Linked DNA regions of Struthio camelus. The protein of the gene in region 4 purifies or fractionates together with the protein of the main gene of each other region. This does not show direct contact. Links are inferred from orthologs where the notes say so. Each region holds a gene or a part of one and is shown on either strand. Other genes may lie near its edges.

Evidence for each region.
Region 1: the proteins of TACC3 (region 4) and CKAP5 purify together in Homo sapiens (co-immunoprecipitation; 5 studies listed by BioGRID and IntAct, with this or other methods). This does not show direct contact. The link is inferred for Struthio camelus from reciprocal best matches to the Homo sapiens genes TACC3 and CKAP5.
Region 2: the proteins of TACC3 (region 4) and ENAH purify together in Homo sapiens (co-immunoprecipitation; 3 studies listed by BioGRID and IntAct, with this or other methods). This does not show direct contact. The link is inferred for Struthio camelus from reciprocal best matches to the Homo sapiens genes TACC3 and ENAH.
Region 3: the proteins of TACC3 (region 4) and vasodilator-stimulated phosphoprotein-like purify together in Homo sapiens (co-immunoprecipitation; 3 studies listed by BioGRID and IntAct, with this or other methods). This does not show direct contact. The link is inferred for Struthio camelus from reciprocal best matches to the Homo sapiens genes TACC3 and VASP.

What each region holds. Positions count from the first base shown.
Region 1 is NC_090946.1:39,656,961-39,664,195, forward strand, and holds the start of CKAP5 (cytoskeleton-associated protein 5), read left to right. Parts: upstream 1-4,233; 5' UTR 4,234-4,348; intron 4,349-7,235. UniProt on the Homo sapiens protein: Binds to the plus end of microtubules and regulates microtubule dynamics and microtubule organization. Acts as a processive microtubule polymerase. Promotes cytoplasmic microtubule nucleation and elongation. Plays a major role in organizing spindle poles.
Region 2 is NC_090944.1:125,990,680-125,997,595, reverse strand, and holds the start of ENAH (protein enabled homolog), read right to left. Parts: upstream 3,001-6,916; 5' UTR 2,746-3,000; coding exon 2,741-2,745; intron 1-2,740. UniProt on the Homo sapiens protein: Ena/VASP proteins are actin-associated proteins involved in a range of processes dependent on cytoskeleton remodeling and cell polarity such as axon guidance and lamellipodial and filopodial dynamics in migrating cells.
Region 3 is NC_090957.1:1,487,194-1,494,498, forward strand, and holds the start of vasodilator-stimulated phosphoprotein-like, read left to right. Parts: upstream 1-4,313; 5' UTR 4,314-4,369; coding exon of another isoform or gene 4,370-4,398; 5' UTR 4,399-4,423; coding exon 4,424-4,736; intron 4,737-4,969; coding exon 4,970-5,033; intron 5,034-5,651; coding exon 5,652-5,692; intron 5,693-5,804; coding exon 5,805-6,028; intron 6,029-6,507; coding exon 6,508-6,620; intron 6,621-6,703; coding exon 6,704-6,764; intron 6,765-7,063; coding exon 7,064-7,109; intron 7,110-7,291; coding exon 7,292-7,305. Other genes in the region: homer protein homolog 3-like, read left to right, coding at 2,408-2,585, 3,740-4,313, 4,370-4,398. UniProt on the Homo sapiens protein: Ena/VASP proteins are actin-associated proteins involved in a range of processes dependent on cytoskeleton remodeling and cell polarity such as axon guidance, lamellipodial and filopodial dynamics, platelet activation and cell migration.
Region 4 is NC_090945.1:78,788,200-78,795,604, reverse strand, and holds the start of TACC3 (transforming acidic coiled-coil-containing protein 3), read left to right. Parts: upstream 1-4,386; 5' UTR 4,387-4,559; intron 4,560-7,405. Other genes in the region: TMEM129 (E3 ubiquitin-protein ligase TM129), read right to left, coding at 1,152-1,626, 2,095-2,299. UniProt on the Homo sapiens protein: Plays a role in the microtubule-dependent coupling of the nucleus and the centrosome. Involved in the processes that regulate centrosome-mediated interkinetic nuclear migration (INM) of neural progenitors.

The DNA.
Region 1 (7,235 bases), on a different chromosome or scaffold from region 4:
TTGGAGAGGGAGGATGGGTGGGTTGGAACCCAGAGACCTTTTTGGCTTGTTTTCACTGTCTGTGGTTTATTTATATGGTCCCTTTTCCTGGAAGCTGCCACATTAACTTTTGCAGTGACTCCTCTGGCCTGAGTCTGGTTCAGATTCTGTCTTTGGCAACCTGCAAATCCCATGCAGTTCAGCTCACAGTCGATGCCCCTGAAGAGAGCAGACAGAGCTACTTCATTGCTAGCTCTTGGTCACAGACGTTCCCCTAGTCATTCCAGCACTAGCAGCGCTCTGAGGCTTTGTGTTGTGGGGTCTCTGACTTAAGAAATATCACAGAATAGATGGGATATGCTTTGGGGCTTAAGGGGACAGTGACACAGTATCAAGTCACCTTTTAAGGGCCTACAGAGAGTAACCACACTTGCCATGATTTGCTTCATGAGAGCATCACTGCTTACTTTCCCACCTGCTAGTAAAAACCTTAATGAATTCTGGGATTGGAGCACTGTGTCTGTTGCTGGCAGTGGACATTGCTCCTTTTCACTCCCTTCTGTTAAAACATGTTTCTGCTCTGGAAAAACAAGTCAGCAAATGGCCCTTTCAGAACTGTTCTCTGTAGGTACTGTGGTCAGAGTACTGTATTCAAGCTAAAAAAATAAATTAGTATTGTTCGTAGCTCTACTGAGCTAATGGGAGGAAATGTATCTCAGCAAGCACTAGATTTTACTCTTTCCTAACTGATATGTATAAAACAAAAGATAGAAAATTTGCTTAATCCCCACAAGTCCCAGTTCTACAAGGTTCCAGTTGTTTTGGCCTTCAGGACCTTCGATTACAGTGATGAGGGGAAATAAGAGAATTCCTAGGTTGACTCTCCCCCAGGGGAATCTTCAGTGCTGACAGTTAGGAACTGCTTTATTAATAGACTAAGCCCATTTGACCTAGAATAGGAGACTAATCGTGGAGCTGTAAGGGCCATTTTTAAATAGTTGCTTAGCAGATAGAATTGCACTTTAAGTTCTATTATTACTAGTAAATAGCTGTCCTTGCAGAGTCATTCTCCCATCAGCTCTAGGAACCTCAGATATTCTCTGGCCTCCAAGGCCTTTACCCTGTAGGGAATGAATAATCCCACCCTTGCAGTTACAGACACCTCGGCAGCATCTGGAGCTTGCATACTCCTGAGGACTGTGCCACTGTTTCATGTTCTCTTGGTGTCTCATATCTGGTCGGAGAACAAAGAGGTAGAGAAAATCTCTCTTGACTCCTCTTCGATAGTGCGATTTATATCATCTCGCCAAGTCATGTGAATACTCTTAGGGTAAGATAGGAAGTCTTATGCCATATATTGAGAAGCAGAACTTTCCGGTGAAGAATCTCTTGCAGCAAACTGTTAACCTCTCTATCTTCTGGGAAGAGGCCAAGTGCATTCCCACCCATGGCGTGAAAAGAGCAAAGCGTACAGTAGGGATATGGCATAGAATTGTGGGGAGGATGCATTTCAAGCGCAATACTTTTCCAGCTAGTTTAAAAAAATGAAAATCCATCCTATTCTGTTGTAACCTTGTTCAGATACTAACAGTCCTACTACCCTTGGAAAAACATGACAGTTGCCAGTGGGTTCGCAATGCTCTTTACACCAGAGGTGGCTCTGCAGCAAGAGGTTGCCGCTTTGACATGGCTAGGTGGCATGAAACTGTCCATAACTTGCACCATTGGGCTGACTGGTGTATATTCCTGTGGAAAATGAACTGGAGCTAAGGCTTAGAAATTTCCCTGTGTTAATGTGGGACTCTTCCCTACTCTCAGAGGGATTTTTTTATTAGATTTTTTTATTTAATTATTTATTTGATTGACTCCAGCCTGGGAAGCACTGTTTTTGTTGGGCAGGGGCACATTTGGATTGAGGCGTGGACTCAGTGGGGAACTGAGAAAGGAGTGCAGGTAACTGAGGTGGACCTTGCCTGTCTAGGCTGCCTGATGCAGGGACAACGTCGAAGGGCTCGAGCATAGGCAGAAGAACCAATACGAGAGGAAGCCAGGTGTGTAGGGCAGGGGCATGAGAGCTGGGTATAGGTGGATGGGGAAGAAGGTTCTGACTTCTAGGAGAGCAGGCTGTTTTTGTGTCTTCCCTCCTCCCCCCCAACAGCTATGTGAGTGTGCACCAAATTCCTGAGGCAGGACAGGGGTGAAGGGAGATACCACCCAGACCTGTCACTTGAGGTTCAGTCAGTCTGTAGAAATAATTGCTCTCCGAGTCACAAGTGCAGAATGGAAAGGAAAACCCAGTCAGTCTTTTCAACAATTAATGGTGCTTGTGATCTCCACCTTGATGTAATCTCTGCTGCTTCTTAGAAGGGACCCTGCACACTCCAGCCGAACACGATTCGTAACTGCTCTCTGCTTCCTTTCTGAAATAATTTAAGGTGAAAAGGAGCAAAGAAACATCCCACAGCCTCACGTCCGCAAGTGAGGTGGGCAGAAATCAGTTTCATTTTTCTAAAGTATGCAGACAGCCCCAGTGAGATGCTGCCTAGAGGGTAACGTCATGTTTCCCCATTCTGGGGAAGAGAAGGCCCTCACTGCGCTTAGGCTGTTAAGAATGTAGAAAGGCCACTGGAGGATGATCTCCTGAGCACTGATTTACTATGTAAAAAAAGCAAACCTCTCTCCTGTCTGTCCTGAGCTAACATCAGTGATTTCCCTGCGTTCCTGTGTAATGGTTTTAACGTTACTCACTGGAGACATTGGACTTTCTGGAGTTATTTAACCACTATGTTCAGTATTTTAGGGGTTGATATGATAATTTAATATAAATTTAGCTTTTCTTAACCACTCTGCCTGGCTTTTGGTTGTGAATGTGCATGGTTTTTGGACTCTCCTTTGAAAGAGGAGCTCCTGGACCTGTTTGTACAGAACCTCAACTTTCCTTCGTTTCAGAGGAGCAAGAAGGTAGGAATGGACTGGGGTTCTTCTGACGATCAGCTTGCTAACACACTGCTTCTGGTGCTAAGGCTTAGGATCAGAGGCCAAACATCTACACCCACTCCCATTTGCAAATGCCCATGTGCACGTACACTCTTCCCCTCACCCTTGCTTTTTTCTTTTTATTACCACTTTAACATGGCAACAGCAGAAGAGCGTGGCCATCATTTTTTGAAGAGGTTTAGGATCACACTGGTCTCAAGCAACATCTACTGTAGGGATCGTTGCTTGTTTTGTGCCTTTGACTAGTGGAAAAGATGGCTCTGAAGAACTGTTTTTCTATCCATAAGGGTTTTTGTTCAAGATTCTGCTGCTTTTTTTTTTCTTTTTGATGACGAGCAGGAGTTTAAGTGGTGCAAGGATGAAAAATGAACAAAATGGTCAGTAACAACTGACACTACAATACTGCTACTAATCTTACGGCCCATTGCATCCTGTTCTGATGACGAAGTACCAAAAAGTATTTTAAATACCTTAGCTTTGTTCCTGCCCATTCTTACGTTGAAGCACAGTTCGGAAATGATTTCACCAAGGCCAAGCAAGAATGTAATCAGCTTTTCTTGGCACCTCACTCCTCGTTCTAATCTAGGCCCTGTAAGCATGGTGCAATGGTAATATTCAGTGCACTCCCTTCTTACGGTTGGGTTGATGGTACCAGCCATTGCTTTCTCTTCTAATTGATTATTTACTTCAGCGTCCTTTCCCAAAGGATCTTTTTCTTAGCCAGCTTTACTGAAGAAAGAGAACAAAGCAGAAAAAAACTAGGCACTTGCACTTTTTATGTTAAGACGAGTTACTGCTTGTCACAGAACAGGCACAGGGAAGGATTTTGCCCTTCCAGTATAACAGGGCATTTCCAGAAGCCGCAGCTGCAGGCAGGAACAAGTTCCAGGTCCTCGCTCGTTTTCTGCCTTGCTCCCGCGCCGGGGAAAAGCCGGCGCTCCGCGCTGCCCGGCGCGGCCGCCTCTCTCGCCAACGGCACCGCCTGGCCGGGCGCGCCCCGCGGCGACCCCGTCTCGGCTGAGCCCGCCGCGACGCGACGCCTGGCCCCGTTACCAACCCTTCGTCCTCCCCGGCCGTTACCAGGTGCCCCCGCCCTCAGGGGCTTGGCGTCCCGGACTGCGCGGGGGGAGGCGACAGCCCCCGTGCGGGCCCGGGCCGCCGCCGCACCCCCGCCCCCCCCCACCGCGCGCGGAGCACGCGTTGCCACTGCCGGATTCAAACAGGCCAATAAAGCGCGCGGGTGAGGGCGCGGGCGGGGCCGGCGCCAGCCAATGGGCACTGAGGACACTGCGAGGTGCGGGCGGTGTTAGTGATTTCAAACCCCGCCGAGGAGCGGCCGGACGTTCGCCGCGCCCGACCCGCTGGGGCACAGGTGAGGCCCCTTCCCTCCTTCCCCACCTGCTGCGGTGGGTCCAGGACGCCTTCCGCAGCTCCCTGGGGCCGGGCGGCGTGGCTCCCCTTGCTCCGCCGGGCCTGAGCCGCCCCCGTGGGGATCGGCGCGGGGGCGGCGCCCGCGGGCGGCGCTGACATCCCTCCGCCGGAGCGGGCCGCGCTCGCGGGCATCGCCGGCTCCTCCTGCGGCGGCAGGCGGCCGTTGGCGGCGGGCGGGCGGGCGGCCGTTGGCGGCGCTAGGCCGCGGGCCTGTAGCAGGCCGCGCTGCGGAGGCTGAGGGGCGCCGCCCGCCTGGGCCGCGCGGGGAGTGGGGGTTGGGGCCTGCGGGGTGCTGCGGCCGGGGCCGCCCCCTCGGTGCTGCAGACGCTGTAGTGGCGAGCTGGGAGCGCCTGTGGGGCTGTCGGGACCCTTGGTCGGGAGGAGGCCGGCAACGCGGGCCCCAGGGAGCCGAGCTCGGCCCGTTCCTAGTGGGCGGCCGGGGAAATGCCGGCCTGGCTTGTGTTCCCTGAGCACGAGTGGCGCCTGGGGGCTGCTTGCGGGGTTGGTTTCCCCCCTGAAACGACCTAGGGGAAAATATTCCCTGTAGTGATTCCAGTCTTAAAAGAAGAGAGTGAACTCATCTGAATTTCTGTATCTCTGATGTTGGGTTCAGGTGTTTGTCTCGGATCTCCAGGGTCCCTCTTCAGAATGCGCTTCCTGTTGAATCTTCTGTAGTGAAGGATTTTTCTTTTCTCCTGTTTCATTTGATTCTGAGTCAGAGTCTTGTGATCCTTTTTAAGGCAGTAGCTTTCAGGCTGGTGTGCAGGGGATTCTCCTCCTGAATTTGGATCTCTGTCAGTTACATGCCCAAATGTTTTTGTTCAGGGTGTGTGTCAACTACTTAATTATATTGTGTTCTTCCCTTTTTTTACTGTTCTTATTTTGTACGTAGCATTGAATCCTCTCAGAACCTATAGCTTTGACTGAGGATGCCTGTATAGTTATCTTATGGCTTGCTCCACTAAATTGCAGTACTGTTAAAGTTGCCTTCTGCAGGTGAGAAAGGAATGAATAGTGGTCTGGATGTTAGCTTACTAGCTGTAGACTTTCTCTGTTTATTACTGGTGTGATGGAGAAAGTATTGCTACGGGCTTTCAACGAACATTTCTGTTGGATTGGAACTTACGATGCAATCTCAAATATTGAAATGTTATAGAAAAAGCTATTTATAGAAAGCTACTATTAAAACTTTGTGGTAGTGTCAAGGTAGAAAGATGAATGATTAGGTGCAAGTTGTTCTTATAGAATTGATTCTTTAATGTTCAATGTCAGATCAGTTGATGGTGCAAAAAATAAAATTTGGCTTAACTGCTTCTTGCCCCAGGCATGGTCTTTCTTTAAACCTTACTATTTTGGTGACTTCCCTTGCTTAAAACTTGCACCTTTGCCCCGCCCCTCAGGAGTTGCAATAGGATTAAAGCAACTTGTGGTAGAAGCATTTATGGAAGGTAATTCTCAAGAACATAAAGTTGGGAACATTACTAGAGGGCCTGCTGTGGAAAAACTACATGTTTATGCAATACCTGTGTGCAAATAGGTAAAACTTGGATTTTAGAATAATGAGAAATTGGAGTTAGTCAGATTGCTTTAAATCCTTCCTGTACTGATGCAAGACTTCTTATTTGCTCTTTTAAATTAAAAAAAAAAATCAGATGTATGGTAATGGCATGTTATTCCTTATTGTCATATGTGCATGGCTTGTATCTAATGGGACTTATTTCTATGCTGACTCTTGTTCTTTTGCTGATATGGGCCAGTTATGTAATCTGGGCCTGTGTTTCTAAAAGTCTGGTCTGTGCCACTGTTGAATTGATAGTCTCATATAGACATCTATTAGCATAGTAAGGTTTTGTTCCCATTAAATAGTAATCTGCTCAGAACATCTGACTTCCAATGTAATGTTAAGATTCTTTTTTTGCCTTGTGCATCGCTGTATATGCATGTGTACTGGATGATAAAATGACAGCTGAAATTCACTTGATATTGCATGTTGCAATTTTTTGCAGTCAATCCTTTTTTTCTCTTCTTACTATCCTGAATAGCTTAGCCTGTCATCTGCAAATCTCTGGTCACCCCCTTTTATAGAACACTTGTGAATGTCTTGAACATGCAATTAGAGAACTGGTCTGACTGTTTTGTGAGAGTACAGATAATTGTCTCCCAGTCATAAGTATCTAATTTGGAAGAGTTTGTTGTGTAGGATGTATGACCTGAAAGAGCCTTGAAAGATGTAAACACTTGCAAACTTTGCAATTTAGGCTTTCAGAATCATGGTCACGGAACATCTGGTCCCTGTCGTCCCCCCCCCCCCCCCCCCAAGTCTCTTCTCTGTTCTGTTGTTCCATGTAGATGCCTGTTTCTATTTTAAATTTGCTATATTTCTCTTCAAAATAGTTTACAAACAAATTAGAATTCATAAGCCATTTATATTGCATTTTTATCCCAGAGTAGGGTGGAATTAAGTTCACTTTCATCCTTAACAGAATGGCTGGTTTCAAGACAGCATAGTCTATGGTTATTATAGCTATCACTCTACTGTTGCTGCTACCCTGTTGTAGACTCTTCCGATGGCACATCTTATAGGACCTGTGTTTTAAAGTGTAACGTGGGAAGGTCTTGTATGCTTGTGTTTAAATTAAACATTGCCTTGTCCCAAACAATGCTGCTATGGCATCTTATTTAAAGAGCCTCTTGAACTGAGCAATTGCACATTGTTTGGAGTTGGGGTTGTCTCTATGACAGCTTCATTGCTGTGAAGTCAAGCAGAAGCTGGTGTGCGCGTTTCATGCCTCCCTGGGGTGGGAGTTGAGACAGCAGAAGAAGAACTT
Region 2 (6,916 bases), on a different chromosome or scaffold from region 4:
AAACTGGGACGTCTAAGATTCACAGTTTTATCTGCAACCTACAATGCCTAATACATGCTATCCAAACATCATATAACATTCACTCAAATTCAAAACAGACCACTGAAAAAAGTTAATTGCTGTGGTCAATTTGTACTGCTGATGTTTGCGTGTTACTGAATTGTTGGTTATTTTATAATATTTCGATGCTCTTTACAATAGTATTTAGTTTTAGCTGACAAAAGGAAAACTAGTTAGCTGTTTGATAACTGACCAGCTAACCGTCCCAGACAAGGGGTGAGATCTTCGCAAGAGGTCATCGGAATTATTTCAGGCTGAGGATGGCTGAAGAATAGTCTCAAACGTGTGTGTTTCAAAGGACATCACAGAAACAGAAGGCTATTTTTTTCAGCTCATTTCAGAATGACTTACAGTATTTATTCCTTTTTTGTACTCAGAGCGCCAACTGTATACTTAACTAGAAAACAGTTTTAACACCACTTGCAAATAGACAAGCCATATATTAAACACTGGCAGATCATTTATTCTATCCACTTTCTCACTCCTTCCCCCAATCATGACTTGCCTCGACCAGCAAATACCCATTAAAAGACATTACTCAAGCACAATATACTGTGAAGAGACTGGTTTAAACATGTTTCAGATATACCAATCCTCGTCTAAACAAGTCCGAAGAGAGCGTGTTCAGTGAAAGCTTGCCCTCGCACTGAAGCTGGGCCAATTAAACAAAACTGAGTCAATTTAATAGCGCCTAGATAGGGAAAATACTGCTTAAGCCACATCATTTTCTTAACTTGTTTAGTTTAATTAGTACCATTTGCTGCTTTTTTCACAAGGCTTGGAAGCAGAGTTCTTGAAGTCAGATTTCCTTGAATTACCCAATGACCACTCAAAGCAACTACTCAACTTGACACTACATTTCCCTCTTAGCAGCTTGACATTCTGCACAAGCAGGCAGAAATTTCAGACACATTATAAGAGCATTTGCCTACATTTACTGAATGTTTAAAGTCATTATTCAAACATCTAAACAGGCAACCTAAGGGCAGGTCCAACCTAGACACTTTCCTGTTACACTGCTTAAGAGAAATACTTGCGCTCTGAGCTGGCAGAAGTCCTAACACATAAAAGTTACACTAGCAAAAGGACACTTTTGCTGGTATAACTTACTTCACTCAGCCTCAGTCACGCAATTAGGGTACTTTTTGCCAGAATAAAAGCCCAAATTATACAAGAAGAGTTTCTCAAAATATTTATACCAACTTGTGCTAAATTAATAGCATTCATTGTGTTAAAGATCATCAAAATAAAATTTTAAAAAAATCATTTAAAGAATTCATGAACTGTAAGCTTTTTAAGTCGAAACTTCTTACTCTCGCAGGGCATCTGACTTGTACATAGCAACATGAATAAGTGAAAATAAGTTGCCGTAATACAGAACAAAAGCTTAAAATAATACAGTACATAAATACCTACGGTCTAAGAAAAACAGAGAGAAACATTAGACTAAATTTTAAACAAAACAGCAGGGAGAAAATACCCATGCTTCCCACTGCAAAGTTACTGCTCGCATTTAAGGCGTGCACACGCACACAAACCCTTAAAAATACAGTTCAAAAATGTGATTAGAATTTTACTTGACTTTATGCAGAGTTCTAATGGCTTGACACTTTTTTGCAGCAAAAGAATTTGTTGATTTTCATCACACAAGTTTTACTGCGTTATACCCCGAAGGGCCTTACAACTTTTGATCAATAATCCTTAACACAAAGACGACTCAAATCCAACCGCAAGTAAGACGGTACCTCTGAGAGGAAGGACGGTAACTCACTTTCCCCTCCTAACTAAAGGACAGGCCTACGGAGCATAACGTTCCCCCCGCCCCCAAATATATCAGCATTTAGGCTATCAAGCCACGTCTCTTACGAAGTCTTGCACCAATCCAGAAAAAAAGATTATGGAAACAAAACAGGCACTAAAAAGAAATTGGGGGGGGGGGGGCGAGCCACGGGCGCAGAAAATTATCTACAAATGAATGAGACCGCATCAAGCTCCAGTCTCTCGTTCAAACGAGGGCAGAAACCTACGTGTGCCTTCCCCCAGACCCCTCAAAAGGGGATGAGTAACGTCCACCTCAGTGTTTACATCTGAAAACCTCCAAACGCGACACTTTCACGGCTGCCGAAAGGGGGATTCCTCCCTCCGCCCCCCCCCTCCCCGCGCTCGACTTCTATTTATTGATTACACAGGGAAAAGCCCAGCTGCTGCTGCAATGCAACACCCGCCGGTTAAGAGGGGAAAGGAAAAAAAAAAAAAAGGAGAGAGAGAAAGAACGAAAGAAAGAAAGAAAGAAAGAAAGAGAGAGAGAGCAGCCAGGCGCTTCCCCCTCGCGCCGTGGCGGGGCACACCTCCGACGTGCTCCCAGCCGCAGCAGGGGTGACCACAGGGGACGCGCCGGGAGCACCGCGCCGGCCCCCCCGCCGCAGGGCCCCGCTCCCCCCCCCCTTCCTCGGCCATCAACTTCGCCGCCGCCGCCGCGGGGGACGGGGACGGCCGGGCCGCCCCTCCCCCACCCGCCGCTAACAATGGGCCCCTCCCCCACCGCGGGGCTCCCCCTCAGCTCAGCCCCTTCCGCGAGCCGAACCCCCCCCCCAACTCCCGGGGACCGTTAGGGGCGGGGGGGGGGATGGAGACGTTAACCGCCCCCCCCCTTCGCCTTTCCCCGGGGCCGGCCCCTCACCTCATGGTGCTGCCCGGGGTCGGGGAGCCGCTCCCGCTTCCTCGCTCGCTCGCTCGGCCGCCCGCTCCGCTCCCCTCCGCCGCTTTCCGCCTCGCAGCGGCCGGCGCGTCAACGGACACCGAGACCCTCGGCCGCCAGCGCCTCCCTGCCCGTCTCCTCGCTCCCTCCGCCGCCGGGCCGGGCCAGACCACCGCGGGGAGCCGGGGGGGGGCGGCGGCGAGGGGAGGGGAGGGGAAGGCAGAGGTGGGGGAGAAGGGGCGGGGAAGAGCGAACCAACGCGCGGGAATGGGCGGGGGGGGGGGAAGGAGAGACAGAGAATGGGCAGGACCGGGGATAGCGCGAGGCAGGCTCGAGACACCGGCCGGGCGGGGGGGCGCCGCGGCGCGGCGCGCGAGGGCGGGGGGTGGGGGAGAGGAGGAGGAGCGGGCCGCGGAGGCCACGCCCCCCGCCGCACCGCCTCCCCTGCGGAGGCCGCGCCGGGGAAGGGGCTCGGCGGTGCCCCCGCCTTCCCCCCCCCACCGGGGCGCGGCCGGGCCTGGTTTCCGTGCCCAGGAGCCCCGACGCCGTGGCCCTTCCGCCCGGCCGGCCGGCGTCAGGCGCGGGTGCGAGGGGGAAGGCGAGGCGGGACGCTGTGCTCGTCGCCGGGGCCGGGGCCGGCCGGTCGCAGGCCTCGCTGCCGCCGGGCCGCCTCCGGGCTCGCGAAGGGAGAGCGGCGGGGGCGGCAGGCCTGCGCCTCCCTCCCGGTGCGGTTCCCGGGGAGCAGGCGGGTGCAGGCTGCGAGGCAGGGTTACGGGCAGCCGGCGGGGGCTGCTCGGGCTTGCTGAGGGCAAGCTCAGCCTCGGCATTAAATGACTGGTTTGCTCATCCCTGCGGTGCCAGGAGCGAAATCTGAAGTGTTTTCCCAAGGTGCAGACTCGCTCGCACTGATTTTGAACGCTTCTGCCACCAGACCGTGTCCTTTCCCCGCAACGTTTCTCTCCCTGCTTTCTGGATCGCGTTCTTACTTTGCAAGTAATCAACACATGAGCAAAGTGCTAGAATTGGATTCTTCATTTCTAGGAAAATACATAATCAATGCAGCCCACTAAATGAACTCTACAGGTAAATTACTCGCTGGTGCTGCAGTTCTTCCAATTGCCTTTCTGTGCTCTTGGAAGCACGAGGCCTAGATGTGTTTTTAGAAATACGGGAATGTTATTTCAGCCTCATGCACGTTTGCTGTTACATCTTTCACTAACCCCACGTCCGTACTAAATACAGATTTATGTTTTGCTTTTAGTACTCCCAGTGGGTGAAACACATGTTATACATAACTTTAACCCAGTTCATGTTCAGCTAATTTCTGCCAAACACTGAATACCCCCATTCTCTTTGGTCTCCAGTTAATGGAAAGGATGAGCAAGTATCTCTGCAGTCTTCACTGACATGATGGTATCTCAGTCCTTTTACATCTCTGCTTTAATTTTTCCTTTTAAATTATCATTTTTTCTAGATTTTAGATATTAATAATATATAGGTTTTTATAAATAAATGTATATATACCTCCTTTATAAGTTTCTAGATTTTATATGCAAAAATTGAATAGGATTTTAGAGATAAATATGTACGTACCTTCTTCATAAAGTTCTGATCTAGGTTTCACAACCTCAGTTATTTACTCTGAATCTCGTTTATTCAACGCTGCATACAACCTCTTCTTTGAACAGCCTGGTATCTGAGACAGGGTCAACCACTGTCAACTAACGGTTTCAGTAAGACAGTGAAAGACGAGCTAGTCAATAAAAAATGTCCAGTTGTTGAAAATACTAATTCAAAAAAGAGGATAGGCTCTGAAACACAAGCCAACGAATACCAATTTAGTGAGAAAATTAACATGTTTTTACTGGCATAGAGATGATGTAAATGAAAATGTTGCTATAGGGGTGAATCACAAAATGCAGATGAATAATTAGAAGAGCAGCATCTTAACAGGTAAGTGGGTACCTTTGACAGCAACGTCAATGCAGTCTGAAATAGGAGACTTCATCTAATAAATATGCTTATCTTAAATGCTTCTACTGAATGCTCAGGACTCTAATGACTGACAATGGACTTCAGGTCTTAAAGAATCACAAATTTTGTAAGTTAGAGCTTACTATCACCAGAATATCCTCCAAATAAAAGGTTTGAAAGGGAAGTCATTCAGACTGTGAAAAATATCTTGAAGGCAGCCAAATATAAACATTAAGATCTGTATCTAACTGGACTTGCTCTCATCAGTAGAAGGAATGGCACAGAGAGTCAGCTGAACAAGGATTCTGTTCTAAGACCCCAGCTATTCTGTACTAGCCAAAAATCAGGATGCTAATGTGACTGTTCTGATAAGACCGTTCCGTCCTGTCAGTCAAGCCTAAAAGAAGTTTGACTGTAACAAGTATGTAAAACCCACTGAAAGTATGCCTGGGCAACAAGTCTGCCTGAGAAGGAATGAAAATAGCCGGAAGCTGTTACTCCTGCAAAAAACTATTATCATTACTTGTGTTATATTAGTTGATATTCTTAGCCAAATCAGGCATGGTCATAGCTTGATTTCTCAAGACATACTGTGGGGTACAAGAGAATCTGTAAAAATGCCAGAAGAATCATTTTGCATGCTGGCATCACAGATGTCACCAAGTGCAAAGTCATTCTGGACACTAGCTTAGTCAAAAATACCATTGAATTAATCTATAACAAAATATTAAATCTGCAATAACTCGTATTAGCATTACATGAGAAGGCGAGGAGCCAAAATGATATAGGGCAGAAATCAATTATAAACGTTAAGTGTGTCTTTCTTTCCCCCAGGTCAATTTAGCACTGTTATTGTCAAGGAATTAAAGTAGTCTCGCAGCAGAAGTTTGTACCATGTACATACTTACGATACTGAATTATACATTGAGAAATCTGTAATCTCCTGTAACTGGCCTGCATTTTCTCAAGCTGTAATCGTTAGATGTGTCCGAATCACTCTGTGCAATTCTCCCGTTACCTTTCTAGCTGATGGGATCCTCGAGTGGCATAGCATTGGTGATACTGCCCTTCATATCACCTCCCACCTCTCTCCTTTCTTGCAATGACAAACAGAATGTGGCAGAAAGGCTTCGTAGCTGATGGTGTCTCACTAATAACCTGGGGCCACCGACAGCTTACGATGCAGAGCCGTCTAAAGGCTCTTGTAATTGGTGTCAAAGAACAGTATTAGTGTCCTCCTTGCTCAGGATCCAAGCAGCTCAGAATACCCCAAAGTGACTTCCCATCCCTCTCTCTTGCCTTTTGTGCCGCTCAGCTGCAACTGAGGGTTGGAGCTCAGATGTTTCCAAAGGCTAAGCTAATTCAGGTTGAGTGGTATGGTGTGCCTCCTCTCCAAATAACCTGACTAGTGAAGGCTCTTTAAATACTAGAGAAATGGCTCACCCAGGCATAAAACAGAAGAAAATGTGTTTCTGGTTAGTATCAGCCAGATGCAAGAGGCTTGGCACTCTGTTCCTGAGCAAACCCAGCTGAGTCCATCTCATATCATCAGCATGGATCACCCTTAAGAGCGGGGCATGAGCAGGATGCATGACTAATATTCTGGAGACACTGAGGGAATCCAAAAGCTTCAAAAGGCAGCCTAATCCATCCTCTCTCAGTGAGGTTTCCCCATTTTCTCTGAAACAATCTTCCATTTGCAGTCGTCAGTTTTTTTGGAGAGTCTGTTTGTATTTAAGATGGAAAAGTAGCTGAGATCTTCACACGTCTTACTATAATCAGTGTCCCCGGACAGCAGCAGTTATACCACATCACTTTTTCCTTCTTTAATGCTCTGTAAATAGCATAATGCAGGAAACACAGTCAGAGAGGTTTCTGGAGTGGGGAGAAGTGGGTTTTTTGGTGGTGTTTTTTTTTTTTTGAAGGTTATTACTTTTACTTAATGTGTCTAGAGTTTGGTTTTTGAATAAGTAGAAAGATTTTTTTTTTCACTTGTTTGGGTTCTTTTCTGTAGAATGGTAACATAGAAAGAAAACACAATTTAAAATATAATAGAGTGAGAGAATTGCAACAAAAAGCAGTTTCAGTGAGAAAGCTGATGCTTTCTTTCTGTTGATAGTGAAGGGCTTTCCAAAAATAAAGGGCAGGCTGAAAAGAAATGGCTGTCAGTATGTTCCTATTAAC
Region 3 (7,305 bases), on a different chromosome or scaffold from region 4:
GGGGCCTTGAGGGGGGGGCCCAGGCGTCCTGGCGGCCCCCCCACCCTGGGGTGTCACAGACTTCGGTGACTTGTTCCCCCCCCCCACCCCATCCTGCGCCAACCCGGATGTCCCAGCTCCTGCCCTCGGGAAGGGGGAGGGGCACAGCTCGGACGCCTGGGCCCTCTCCGCACCCGGAGGAAATGGGGGAGGGGGGGAAGGGGGCAGGGCCCGGACGCCTGGGTCCCCTGCTGATAAGGGGAAGGAGTGGGGAGGGGTGGGGTGGGGGGGAGTATGGGGGGTGCTTGTGGTTTGGGTGCCTGTCCTGGCGGGGGGGGGAAGCACCCAGGGGTGCCCCATGGCCAGCCTTGGGGTCGCCCCATGTCCCAGGGGTGCCCCACACCCAGGGGTGCCCCATGGCCAGCCTTGGGGTCGCCCCGTGTCCCAGGGGTGCTCCACACCCAGGGGTGCCCCATGGCCAGCCTTGGGGGTCCCCATGTCCCAGGGGTGCTGCATGGCCTGCTTTGGGGGTGCCCCACACCCAGGGGTGCCCCATGGCCAGCCTTGGGGGTCCTCATGTCCCTGGGGTGCCCCATGGCCTACTTTGGGGTGCCCCACACCCAGGGGTGCCCAATGGTCAGCCTTGGGGGTTGCCCCATGTCCCAGGGGTGCCCCATGGCCAGCCTTGGGGTCGCCCCGTGTCCCGGGGATGCTCCACACCCAGGGGTGCCCCATGCCTGGCCTTGGGGGTGCCCCTTGCCCAGCTTTAGGGGTGCTCCACACCCTGTAGGTGCCCCCTGCCCAGCCCTGGGGGTGCCCCACACCCACTAGTTGCCCCATGCCTGGCCTTGAGGATGCCCCACACCCCATGGGTACCCCTTGGCCGGCCCTGGGGACACCCCATGCCTCGTGGGTGCCCCCTGCCCAGCTTTAGGGGTGCCCCACACCCCGTGGGTGCCCCCTGCCTGGCCTGGGGGGTGCCCCATGCCCCGTGGGTGCCCCCTGCCCAGCCTTGTGGGTGCACCCTGCCCAGCCTGGGGGGACACTCGGCCCCCCGTGGGTGCCCCCTACCCAGCCTTGGGGACACCCCATGCCCCGTGGGTGCCCCCTGCCCAGCTTTAGGGGTGCCCCACACCCCGTGGGTGCCCCTTGCCCAGCCTTGAGGATGCCCCGTGCCCCATGGGTGCCCCCTGCCCGGCCTGGGGGACACCCCACACCTCATCGGTGCCCCTTGCCCAGCCTTGGGGATGCCCCATGGGTGCCCCTTGCCCAGCCTTGAGGATGCCCCGTGCCCCGTGGGTGCCCCCTGCCCATCCTGGGGGACACCCCGCACCCCATGGGTGCCCCCTGCCTGGCCTGGGGGGTGCCCCTTGCCCAGCCTTGAGGATGCCCCACGCCCCGTGGGTGCCCCCTGCCCAGCTTTAGAGGTGCCTCACGCCCCATAGGTGCCCTCTGCCTGGCCTGGGGGGTGCCCCACGCCCTGTGGGTGCCCCCTTGCCCAGCCTTGGGGACACCCCATGCCCCGTGGGTGCCCCCTGCCCAGCTTTAGGGGTGCCCCACACCCCGTGGGTGCCCCCTGCCCAGCCTTGGGGACACCCCACGCCCCGTGGGTGCCCCCTGCCCAGCTTTAGGGGTGCCCCACACCCCGTGGGTGCCCCTTGCCCAGCCTTGAGGATGCCCTGTGCCCTGTGGGTGTCCCCTGCCCGGCCTGGGGGACACCCCGCACCCCATGGGTGCCCCTTGCCCAGCCTTGGGGACACCCCATGCCCCATGGGTGCCCCTTGCCCAGCCTTGAGGATGCCCCATGCCCCGTGGGTGCCCCCTGCCCAGCTTTAGAGGTGCCTCACGCCCCATGGGTGCCCTCTGCCCGGCCTGGGGGGTGCCCCACGCCCCATGGGTGCCCCTTGCCCAGCCTTGGGGACACCCCACGCCCCGTGGGTGCCCCCTGCCCAGCTTTAGGGGTGCCCCACGCCCCGTGGGTGCCCCCTGCCCAGCCTTGGGGACACCCCACGCCCCCTGGGTGCCCCCTGCCCAGCTTTAGGGGTGCCCCACGCCCCGTGGGTGCCCCCTGCCCAGCCTTGGGGACACCCCACGCCCCCTGGGTGCCCCCTGCCCAGCTTTAGAGGTGCCTCACGCCCCATAGGTGCCCTCTGCCTGGCCTGGGGGGTGCCCCACGCCCCATGGGTGCCCCTTGCCCAGCCTTGGGGACACCCCATGCCCCGTGGGTGCCCCCTGCCCAGCTTTAGGGGTGCCCCACACCCCGTGGGTGCCCCCTGCCCAGCCTTGGGGACACCCCACGCCCCGTGGGTGCCCCCTGCCCAGCTTTAGGGGTGCCCCACGCCCCATGGGTGCCCCCCGCCCGGCCTGGGGGAGCACCCGGCGCCCCCCGGGCGGGTGCCGGGGCGCTGAGGCCGGCGGCCGCCCGCAGCGAGACGGTGGTGTGCAGCGCCCGGGCCACGGTGATGCTCTACGACGACGCCAACAAGAAGTGGGTGGCGGCGGGCGGCGGCCCCCAGGCCCCCAGCCGGGTGCAGCTGTACCGCAGCGCCGGCGGCGCCCCCCCCGCCTTCCGCGTCGTCGGCCGCAAGCTGCAGCCCGACCAGCAGGTGCCACCGCCGGGGGGGGGGGGCCGGGGGGACCGCCGGGGGGCTGGGGACATCGGGGGGGGGCTGGGGACACTGGGGGGACTGCCGGGGGCCTGGGGACACCAGGGGGCTGGGAACACTGGGGGGACTGCTGGGGGGCTGGGGACATCGGGGGGGGCTGGGGACACTGGGGGACCGCCGGGGGGCTGGGGACATCAGGGGGGCTGGGGACACCGGGGAGGCTGGGAACCCTGGGGGACTGTTAGGGGGCTGGGAACATCGGGGGGGGCTGGGAACACTGGGGGACTGCTGGGGGGCTGGGGACATCGGGGGGGCTGGGAACACTGGGGGACTGTTGGGGGCTGGGGACATCGTGGGGGGCTGGGAACCCTGGGACACTGGGGGGGCTGGGAACACTGGGGGACTGCCGGGGGCCTGGGGACACCAGGGGGGCTGGGAACACTGGGGGACTGTTGGGGGGCTGGGGACATCGGGGGGGCTGGGAACCCTGGGACACTGGGGGGGCTGGGAACACTGGGGGACTGCCGGGGGCCTGGGGACACCAGGGGGGCTGGGAACACTGGGGGACTGCTGGGGGGCTGGGGACACTGGGGGGGGGCTGGGAACACTGGGGGACTGCTAGGAGGCTGGGGACACTGGGGGACCGCCGGGGGGCTGGGGAGCGGGGGGACTGCCGGGGGGACCGCTGGGGGGCTGGGGATGCCATGGGGACCGCTGGGGAGGTGGGGACTGCTAGGGGGCTGGGGACCGGGGGGACCGCTGGGGCTGGGGACACCACAGGGACCATCGGGGGGTTTGGGGACACCCCCAGGGCCTGGGGATGCTGGGGGGACCACTGGGGCTGGGGACACTGGAGGGACCGCAAGGGGTGGCTGGGGACACCACGGGGACTGGGAGGGTGGGGACACCAGGGACACTGCCAGGGCTGGGGACACTGGGGGGAACACCAGGGCCAGGGTTGGCTGGGGACACCGGGGACACTGCTGGGACTGAGAGGGTGGGGACGCTCTGGACACCCCTAGGGCTTGGGGACACTGGGAGGACTGTTGGGACTGGGGGGCTGGGGACACTGTCTGTGGGGTCCCCAGCTTGGGGGTCAGAGCTTGGGGGGGGGGGGACCTGGGTATCGAGTGACCTCGGTGTCCCCCCCGAAGGTGGTCATCAACTGCGCCATCGCCAAGGGTCTCAAGTACAACCAGGCGACGCCGAGCTTCCACCAGTGGCGGGATGCCCGCCAGGTCTGGGGACTGAGCTTCGGGTCGCGCGAGGACGCCACCCTCTTCGCCACCGCCATGCTCCAGGCCCTGGAGGTGCTGGAGGCCGGTGAGCGGGGACGTGGGGACACCAGGGAGGTGGTGGCACGGGGTGACGTCCCCCAGGGTTGGGGACTGAGCTTCGGGTCGCGCAAGGACGCCACCCTCTTCGCCACCGCCATGCTCCAGGCCCTGGAGGTGCTGGAGGCCGGTGAGCGGGGACGTGGGGACACCAGGGAGGTGGTGGCACGGGGTGACGTCCCCCAGGGCTGGGCACTGAGCTTCGGGTCACGCAAGGACGCCACCCTCTTCGCCACCGCCATGCTCCAGGCCCTGGAGGTGCTGGAGGCCGGTGAGCGGGGACGTGGGGACACCAGGGAGGTGGTGGCACGGGGTGACGTCCCCCAGGGTTGGGCACTGAGCTTTGGGTCGCGCGAGGACGCCACCCTCCAGGCCCTGGAGGTGCTGGAGGCTGGTGAGCGGGGACGTGGGGACACCAGGGAGGTGGTGGCACGGGGTGACGTCCCCCAGGGCTGGGGACTGAGCTTCGGGTCGCGTGAGGACGCCACCCTCTTCGCCACCGCCATGCTCCAGGCCCTGGAGGTGCTGGAGGCCGGTGAGCGGGGACGTGGGGACACCAGGGAGGTGGTGGCACGGGGTGACGTCCCCCAGGGCTGGGGACTGAGCTTCGGGTCGCGCGAGGACGCCACCCTCTTCGCCACCGCCATGCTCCAGGCCCTGGAGGTGCTGGAGGCCGGTGAGCGGGGATGTGGGGACACCAGGGAGGTGGTGGCACGGGGTGACGTCCCCCAGGGCTGGGGACTGAGCTTCGGGTCGCGCGAGGACGCCACCCTCTTCGCCACCGCCATGCTCCAGGCCCTGGAGGTGCTGGAGGCCGGTGAGCGGGGACGTGGGGACACCAGGGAGGTGACACCGTGGGGTGGCATCCCTCAGGTTGGGGGGTGGGGGGGGTCTCAGCTTTGGGTTGTGCGAGGACACCAGGCTCCTCGCTGCCACCCTGGAGGTGGGTGAGCACGGATGAGGTGACACCCGGGGGTGGCCCACTGTGACGTCCCCCCAGCCTGGGGACGTCCCCGGGTGCTGCTCTGAGCTCTCGTCCCCCCCCGCCAGCCCCCGCTCAGCCCTGGCCCGTCCCCAACGGCCCGTCGCTGGAGGAGCCGGAGCAGCAGCGGAGGTAGGAGCCCCCCAAGGGCACCCTGGGGTGCTCATTCCCCCCCCCGAGACCCCCTGCATGTGGGGGGGGCTGACTTGGGGGACACAGTGGCTGTGGGGGGGTCTGTGGGTGCTGACTTGGGGGTCAACATGCCCTGGAGGGGCGCGGGTGCTGGCCTGGGGGTCAGGGTGCCCCGGGGGGATCTGTGGGTGCTGAGTTGGGGGTCAGGGTGCCCCTGGGGGACCACAGGTGCTGGCCTGGGGGTCAGGGTGCCCCAGGGGGGTGCATGGGTGCTGACTTGGGGGTCAGGGTGCCCCGGGGGGGGCCACAGGTGCTGAGTTGGGGGTCAGGGCACCCCCGGAGGGGTCCGTGGGTGCTGAGTTGGGGGTCAGGGCATCCCCGGGGGGGCCACGGGTGCTGACTTGGGGGTCAGGGCACCCCAGGGGGGGCGCGGGTGCTGACTTCGGGGTCAGGGTACTCCAGGGGGGTCTGTGGGTGCTGAGTTGGGGGTCAGGGTGCCCTGGGGGGGCCGCGGGTGCCGACTTGGGAGTCAGGGTGCCCCAGGGACATCCATGGGTGCTGACTTGGGGGTCAGGGCACCCCGGGGGGGGGCACGGGTGCTGACCCCTCTCCCCGCAGGCCGGCGCCGGAGGAGCTGGAGCGGCGCGTGGCCGGCGCAGGTGGGTGCCGGGGAGGGGGGTGACATGAGCCCACCCCCCCACCCAAAAAACCCCCCACGGGGAGAGGGGGGCCAGCGTGGGTGCCCCCCCATGAGCCACTCTCCCCCCACAGGTGCCCCGGCCCTGCCTGCGGGGGGGCCTCCGCCGCCCCCCGGCCCCCCACCACCCCCGGGACCCCCGGGGCCCCCCCCGCCTCCCGGACCCCCCCCAGCTGCCGCCGGGGTCCCGCCGGCACCACCCCTGCCCGGGCCCGCGGGTGCCCCCGGGGGGGCGTCCGGGGGGGGCTCCGGCTTCGCCGCCGCCATCGCGGGGGCCAAACTCAGGAAAGTCGGCAAGGTACCGGGGGGGGGGGGGGGAATTACCCCTGGGGGGGCAAAATGGGGGGGGAGCTCTGCGGTGGGGGGTAATACCGTTTTGGGGGCAGTTCCCACGGGGGGGGGCAGCCCCTGGGGGGTAATACCTGTTTTGGGGGTAGTTCCCATGGGGGGGGGCAGCCCTGCAGGGGGATAATACCCATTTTGGGGGCAGTTCCCACGGGGGGGGCAGCCCTGCAGGGGGGTAATACCCATTTTGGGGGCAGTTCCCACGGGGGGGGCAGCCCCAGGAGGGTAATACCTGTTTTGGGGACAGTTCCCATGGGGGGGGCAGCCCCTGGGGGGTAATACCTGGTTTGGGGGCAGTTCCTATGGGGGGGAGGAGGGGCAGCCCTGCAGGGGGGTAATACCCATTTTGGGGGCAATTCCCAGGGATGATTGCAGCCCCGGGAGGGGGAACAAATCCGGGGGGGGGGTCGCGCTCACCCCGTTTCCCCCCAGCAGGATGAGGCGCCCGGCCCGGCGGTGGCGGCAGCAGCACCCAAGGGCGATGGCACCCGCGGGGGAGGCGGGGGGGGCCTCATGGAGGAGATGAGCGCCATGCTGGCCCGACGGTGAGGGGGTGCCGCATTGTGGGGGGGGCGGTGACGCAGGTTTGGGGGGGGGGACACTGCGCTGACCTCCCCCCCCCCCCCAGGAGAAAGGCCACGCTGCAGGGGGACAAGCCAGCGCCAAAGAGGGACGAGGACGCCGGCAGCGTGAGTGCCCCCCCTTGCCGAAATACTGCTTTGGGGGTGCCCCCCCATCCCTGCGCTGCCCCATTGCCCCCCCCCCCCCCCCCGCTGAGTATTGCTCCTCTCCTGGGGGCTCCCTGTTGCCCCCATCTGGTATTTTGGGGGGGGGGGGGGGATGGCACCTCTCTCTCTCTCTCTCCCAGTTAATCCCATTGTCCCCAGCTGGTGCGGATCCCCTTGTCCCCCCCCTCCAACCTGGCTACCCGCCCCCCCCCCCCCGGTAAATACCCCGCCGTGACCCCTTTTTTTGCCCCTCCCCACAGGACGACGCGGAGCCAGCGAGCACTAGGACCGCGGGGCAGTCCGCGGGTGAGTGCGGAGGAACTACGACTCCCAGCATGCCCTGCCGCCGCGGCGCGGCGCAGAGCCTGCTGGGAGCTGTAGTCCCGAGAGAGGAACGGGTTTTTTTTGGGGGGGGGGAGGGTGGTGGGTGGCTGCGCCCCTGAAGGGGGGGCTCTGCCTCCCCCTCACCCCCTGCTCTCTCACTGCAGAGCCCATCCGGAGG
Region 4 (7,405 bases):
CAGCTTCCTCATGCTTGCCAGGACCCGTTCACCTAAAAGCTTGGTAATCTGCTTACTTGTAATTACTGCTAAATACGTGCTGCTGTCATCTGTTAAGAAAAGTTACTTCTTACATGAACTGTTGCTTTTCCCTCAAACCCTGTAAAACTGCGTAAGACTGATCTCCTTCAAATTGTGACCATTCTTTTTTAAGTGCAGAAAAAGCTGAGCAGATACTACTGTTGGTATAGAGAGACTCAAATTGTTATGAGCTTAAAGCAGACCTGACTGTATTTGCTATTCTGCGTCAAATTTTGTCTATTATTTAAAACTTAAAATCTTAGTAATACCAACAGCCTACTGCATGACATACGACTCTACAGCAAACACGCTCAAATACTTTTTCAAATTAATAGCTTCAGGAGAACGAACATGTCTTTGTGTACGCCCTTTACTGATACAGCAACAATGAAGACATTAGCACCAATCTAATCAAGAGTGTTTGTTGCAAGTTTCTGCAGAACTTGTATTCTTGTCAAGGTAGACAGACTGCTAAAACAAACAAACAGCATGGCCCCTTGGAAAACAAGCACTAACAATTCACAGCACATTTTCCATGATTTACAACTACTAGGATACACAAATCGGAAGTGAACCTAAATTACTTCCTTGCTTCACTGTAAGAGCAATTGGTTTGCAGTAAGTCAGTGAGAACTCTTTCAAGCAGAGACTAAATTATGAGTTTTGAGCAGGAGGAGGGAAAAAGAAGTCATGACTGAGCAATGGTCAGTTTTACAGAAATCATTATTTCTCCTCCTCCAAAACATGGAAGACTAAAGATTCTCCATTTCTTTCCTGTTCTCTTTCACCCAAGTTTTTGCAGTTACTTCCTCCTACCTCTACTAAATTCTCTTCCTAAGAAAGGACTAAACAGGGACGTCCCTCTGATTAACCGTTGTGGATTCAATATTGTAGGTCTGTGAATCTTGCTAAACAGCCTTTCTTCACTGCACTAAGTGACAGAACTGCGCACAAAGAACCTCTGAGCACTGGGCATGGAGCAAAAAGAAAGGGATGAAACCCTAGAAGTCTTCAGATCTGCCAAGAAGCACTCCATTAACATCATTAAATGACATACATATAACATAACGGTGTAGCATGTTCTGCTTTACCGAATATCAAATGCCTTCACGTAGGGATTAATACTGGCAACACGGATGGTGAGGAACTGCACAGGCATATTTGAGTCTGGTGAGAGTTCATGCTGTCTGGAGTCTGTAACCGTTAAATGAATGTCCTGCTGCTGGGCAACATGTAAACAGTAGGTGGTCACTTTAATCACCCATGTGTCTGTAACAATCACCCGGGCTCCTGGGGCTCCAGTAGCAAATTTGTCAATTCTCCTGAATTCCATATTGATGGAAGAAGCTACTGCCCTCCAGCCCGACTGCGGGAGAGCATGAACAGCAAGCGTCCGAGCTAACGGATGATTATTCCAACCTTTCCGTGACCAGTAATATGCCAGGGCGCTGGTCACTGCTGGGAGGAGAACGGCAAAAAAGAAGAAGGTTTTCCATCCTTTCGAAGCCAAGTAAAAAAAATAAAGATGTTTTTCCGGTGCAGCAAAGCACATTCCAAGGTAATAGCCTGCAAGGAAAAAGATTTACTTTCAGAAAACAAGTACACACGTAAACGCGTATCCCTCAATTTTGTAGTTAATCTTAACGGGTGAGGTCACCTCCAAATCCGTTTTATTTTTGGATGGCAACTCAAATTCTAAGCCTCTTGGCCTAAGCAATTTGGTGCAAGTTCTTACCTGTCGGACGTCACTTATTTTTACCAGAACTGTATCGCTAAAGGAAGCTGACTTGAACCAGCTGGTTAAATAAAAAGTTATCGCTTTGGGAGCACACGTACTCCAACGCGGCCAGCTAGTTCCAAAGGTGTGTATTACAAAGAGGCTGTGGGGCTCCTCTACCGAAAGACCGTAATCCCGAGATTTCTGATACGACGCACACCACCACATCTACCCGGGGTGGGGGGGGGGGGACAGGGAGACACGACGCCGCGCCGCAGGCTGCCGCCGGGCCGGGCCGGGCGCGCCCCCCGCCTCACCGAGGGGCAGCAGGGAGTGCGCCAGCAGCGTGCCGGTGCTGCGCCGCAGGTGGTACTGCACGAAGGCCGCGTCCTCGCTGCCCAGCCAGGCGGCCAGCAGGCTCTGCACCGTCAGCCCCGCCGAGCGGACCTCGTCGGGCGGGAAGACGAAGCAGACGGCGAACACCAGGTAGGCCAGCGTGAAGGTCACGGCCGGGCTCTCCATGCTGCGCCGCCGGGCTCGGCTCGGCTCGGCTCGGCTCGGCTCGGCCCGCCGCCGCCGCCGCCGCGCGGCTCCCTGGGAGCGGTAGTTCCCGCTCGGCCGGGGGGAGCCAGCCCCGCCCCGCCAACGGCCGTTACCGGCCGCGCCGCGCATGCGTCGCCGCGCGGCTCCCTGGGAGCGGTAGTTCCCGCCCAGCCCGCGGCCGTTACGGGCCGCGTCGCGCATGCGCCGCCGCCGCCGCCGCGCAAGGGGCTCGGCTGACGGGGAGATGCGCGGCCGGGTGCGCCGGGCAAAAGCAGCGCATTGCGGTTCTAAGGTTTAAAAAGCCCCGTGGTGTTGGGTAACGTCCATCTGAAGTAGGCATGTGGCTGTTGGGCTCCAACTCTCTTTGGGTTTCTTGGAGTATTTTATGTAATATTTTCTTTAGAGGAGGATCGGGAGGAGCCTTAAGATCTTAAGAGGTCTTAAAGTGATTAGAGAACTTTTTAAGATATGTCTGTGAGCTTCCAAACACAGGAGAGGGAGAGGCCAGACCGCAGTCTCTGGTTACCACTGAGATACAAATAATAACTATTAACTGCAAGCATCACTGTTTCGCTTGGAAAACAACAACCAACTGCTCCTCCACACTGTAATAAATAACCATGAACTTAATATTTTTCTATTTTAGAGAAAAGAGGAAACTGCGTAATTGAGGAAGGAGAGCAGAGGAAACATCATGCAACGTTATAATCTACTAGTCACAGGAAACTTAGGAAATGCCGCCTCTGCAGCGTGAAATCTGAGGCTGGCAGAGGGTGTTGTTGATGGAGATCAGAATTCATGGTGGTTTAGTGATTGTTGCGTCAATAAAATTGAACTTGGATCGCGTGTGTTGCATTTCACTACAAAACACTTTGTTGTTACCAGCTTTATTGGTTTCAACAACCATTTCATTGTTACTGCCTAATGACTCAACTCTAATTTAATTGATGTTGAGTGTGTTAATTTTTGGAATGGATCGTGACATTTAATAATAAAAATCATAATAAAACATTGTGAGGCAGCAAATTTTCCTTCTGTGGTTTTATTCACAAGATGATGTAGAAAAACGGCAATGCTGTGGGTAGATTTGGGGCTACAGGAGACAGATGGTTTTCTCTTGGGAGGGGGAAAACAGGCAAAATGCTCTTAACAGCTACATGGGACAGCCGTGCCAAAGTGCTGAGGGCAGCGGAAGTTCATAGTTCATGTGATTTATCGATATGGATCTCTGAAAGAACCACCATTTAAACATGGACCTTAATCTTCTAAAAGTTTCCCAGTTTCTAACCTGATCCACATTAATCTCTATAGGCAGGATTCACTCTCCCTACAGAGTCCTCGTGGTATCAACGATAGTTTATGCAGGACTCCTCTTGATGCCAAACTCACTGCAGGACTGAGTCTTGGGACGCTCCAGTTCTACCTAGATTGACCACTGTGTACAAAGTCTGGTCCACAGCCTCAAACCCCAGATTTCTTCACAGTAGGCATCTAGGGAGGGGGATGCTGGAGTTCCCCTCCCGAGCTGTTGCCCTGTTTTCCTTTGTGTGGAAATCAGGGCGCGTGCCACCTGGCTTTCTCCCAGCACGAAGCAGGGCCACAGCTGGGCCTATGCCCAGGATGTGCGCTGGGATGCATAAAAATCCATATGGGCCTTTAGCGTTTTTCGCCCCGGCCTTCTTTCTTCGCTCCTTTCAGCGCCCAAATCCCTCCTGCCCTGTCAGTTTAGTTTTCTAAATGTCCCCCCTAGGACTGGATTACTTACCTTGGGATTTACAGACGCAACTCTCCGTCCTAAAAAGAAGCTTTACGTACATAAGTTCTCAGCAGTCTGATCTAGACTACCAGTAAAACCGCAAACGCTTTACGCAGTTCTTTCCTGCATAGCAACGAGCTGTTCAGTAACAAGGAATTCGGCCGTTATTCACCCCGGCGGGCCGCCGTGATGGCGCCCCCGAACTACATTTCCCGGCATGCCCCACGCAGTACCATCACCCTCCGCGAAAACACCCTTCCGCGGGGGCTCATTGGCGAGGGAATAGCGGCTGGTCCCGCCTCCTTTCAGCGCTCTTTGCCGATTGGCGAAACCTTTCCGAATGCCGCTTCCTCATTGGCGGGCTGGGGCGGCCGTTGAATTTTGAAATCCTGTGGCGGCAGCTGAGGCGGTGCTGGCCGGCGGTGGCTGCGGTAGTGGGGACCTGGAGCCCGCGCAGCGCCTTGGCCGAGCGCACGGCGGCAGGTACTGCGGGCTGGGGCACCCTGGCGGTCGAGGGGGGCTTGGGGAGCTGCGGGCCGCCCCGCTGATTTGGGAGCGGGAGGTTTACGGGGGTTCCCGCCGTCTCGGAGGCGCCTCCCTGAGCCTCGGGAGGCTGTGGGGGAGGGGAGTCTTGTTGGGGGCCTCCGCGAGGTCGGGGAGGGGGCAGAGTGGGGCTGAGGGGGGGGGTGGCGTGAGGCTGAGGGGAGGGGGGGCCGCCGCCTCCGCGGGGTCGGGGAGGGCGGTGTGGGACTGAGGGGAGGGGGGGGCCGCCGCCTCCGCGGGGTCGGGAGGGGTGGCGTAGGGGTGAGGGGAGGGGGGGGCGCCGCCTCCGCGGGGTCGGGAGGGTGCGGCGTAGGGCTGAGGGGAGGGGGGGGCCGCCGCCTCCGCGGGGTCGGGAGGGGTGGCGTAGGGGTGAGGGGAGGGGGGGGCGCCGCCTCTACGTTTCGGGAGGGGGCGGTGTAGGGCTGAGGGGAGGGGGGGCCGCCGCCTCCGCGGGGTCGGGAGGGGCGGCGTGGGGGTGAGGGGAGGGGGGGCCGCCGCCGCGGGGTCGGGAGGGGTGGCGTAGGGGTGAGGGGAGGGGGGGGGCGCCGCCTCTGCGGGTCGGGAGGGGTGGCGTAGGGGTGAGGGGAGGGGGGGGCGCCGCCTCTGCGGGTCGGGAGGGGGCGGTGTAGGGCTGAGGGGAGGGGGGGCCTCCGCGGGGTCGGGGGGGGGCGGCGTGGGGGTGAGGGGAGGGGGGGGCCGCCGCCTCCGCGGGGTCGGGGGGGGCGGCGTGGGGGTGAGGGGAGGGGGGGGGCCGCCGCCTCCGCGGGGTCGGGGGGGATGGGTCTGGAGGGGGGGGCCGCCTCCGCGAGCTTGAGGGAGGGTCTTGACGAGGAGTCTCGGGGGGCATCCGCATAAGCTTGGGGGCTGTATGGGGCTGGGGGTAGCTCCATAGTCCTGGCAGCGCCGGGCGGGGGCGGTGTTTGGTGCTACCGAGACACCCCCCCGCCACGGAGGGTGGGGTGGGGAGGGGGCCGCCCACCCGAGCTTGCCGCTAGCTAACAGCGGGGCTCCTTCCCCTCCCTCAAGCTGTCTGTCTGCTGAGGGCGACGCTTCTCAGTCGGGTGACTTCTGCGGTCAGGTGCACCTCGCCATTTCGGACTGTTTGCTTAACTTTGGAGTGATAGGTTTGCACTAGAAAGTACAGCCGTCAGCTCTGTCAGTTTGCCTGGAAAGTTTCAGGGCACGTTTCTCCATTCATTTAAGTATTTACAAATTGTAATAACGCGTGCATTTTTGACTTGAAATGCTAGGCATGCACATTACTGATTTTTAAATTACTCTATTGGCCAGTGCTCTGCAGCTCAACTGCGAGAGGATCTCAGAAGATAATTAAGCACAAAAATTCCATCTCTTTGCCCTGCATGTTCAGTGCCTTTTTTAGGCCTTTGAGGATCCAACTGTATTTTAGGTATTGTGCCCTGATGTTCTTTTAAGATGTGAAGTGATTTCATTTGGGGATCTTTAAATGGCCATAGTGGGAAAACTTGCTGTTTTTTTTTTTTTTTTTTTTACAACATGGGCTTGTGTGCATTGGACACTCATCACTTTAAAAAAACTAAGATTTCTTTGTTTTGTTTTGTTTAAAGCCTTCCTTTCCCTTTTACCTTATTTCCCACAGCTACTAGCCAGCGAGACTGTGATAATAAAATCTAGATCAACTTCTAGTTGCACATATTTTAAGTCAATAATTACATATTTTAACAGCTGAATCCCAGAAAATGGAGTTTGCTTCTAATATCTAAGATTGTGGGTAAATGTGGTATATGTGCATCATGTCAGTATACTAGGTATTTAATTTGGCCTAGCAACGGTGCATAAAGAGCTCAATGCAATAAACCTAAAGTCTCCCATGAGCAGGGGATGCTCATTTGAGTTTGTGTTGGAAGGTACTCAATTTTATCTCATCTTAGGCTTTGTTTTTAAACTAACTAGCTACGGTAAACATCTAGTTTTTCTTTAGTCAGGTGTTGATCAGTTGTCTCAATTTCAGCTTGGAGGAATAAAGGGAAGCAGTGAAGCTGATTGCGCTTAAAGTTTTATAAATTCTTAATGTAATTTTTTAGCTCTAAAGCAACTTTGGCTCAAATATGACTCAGAGAAATAACAAATACAGGCATAACCTGCTTCTTGCTGTTGCTTCTTTAGCTATTGTTTGTATTCCATTGCTGATAGTGTAAAACTCTGCTCTACTGTTGTCTGTCTTGCAGACAAAGCAGCTGAGTTCAGTGGATAGTAAAGCAAATATCTGTGTAATGATTAATATAAGAGTGGGAGAATGTATGCAGAGACTTAAATTCACAAATTTAAACACACGGGGACAGTAGATTTGAAAACACGATGTAAAACTTTCAGGGTGAATGTTCTTGTTACCTTTCTGAATGATTTTGTCATCTTCAGATGATTTACTTGACTGCTCTTGGATGAAGGATGGAAAAACTAATTGTTAGGTGTTTTATTTCAAAGAAAGCTTTTGGTCTTTTGGAATGGTGATCTATTCCAGAAAGCCAGCATCTTCTCCAGTTGACAATCCTGATTATCTTTCATAGGTCCTTGTGTGCGTTTTTCCAATGGGTTCATTCTTATGGAAGAAGCAGCTTTGCTGGTGGTTTGACGGGTAGCTATGCACCCATCAAGGAATCATCCTTGGTGGGCAGTGGCTATGCCTAATTCTTGCTGTATGCTTTCCATCCTCTGGGTTTTTCTGCCTTTTGTCTTTCTGTTCGAAAAAACCCCACAATGCTTGGTGAGGCTACTACTGATTTTAAATCTGTTTATAAAAAAGCCAC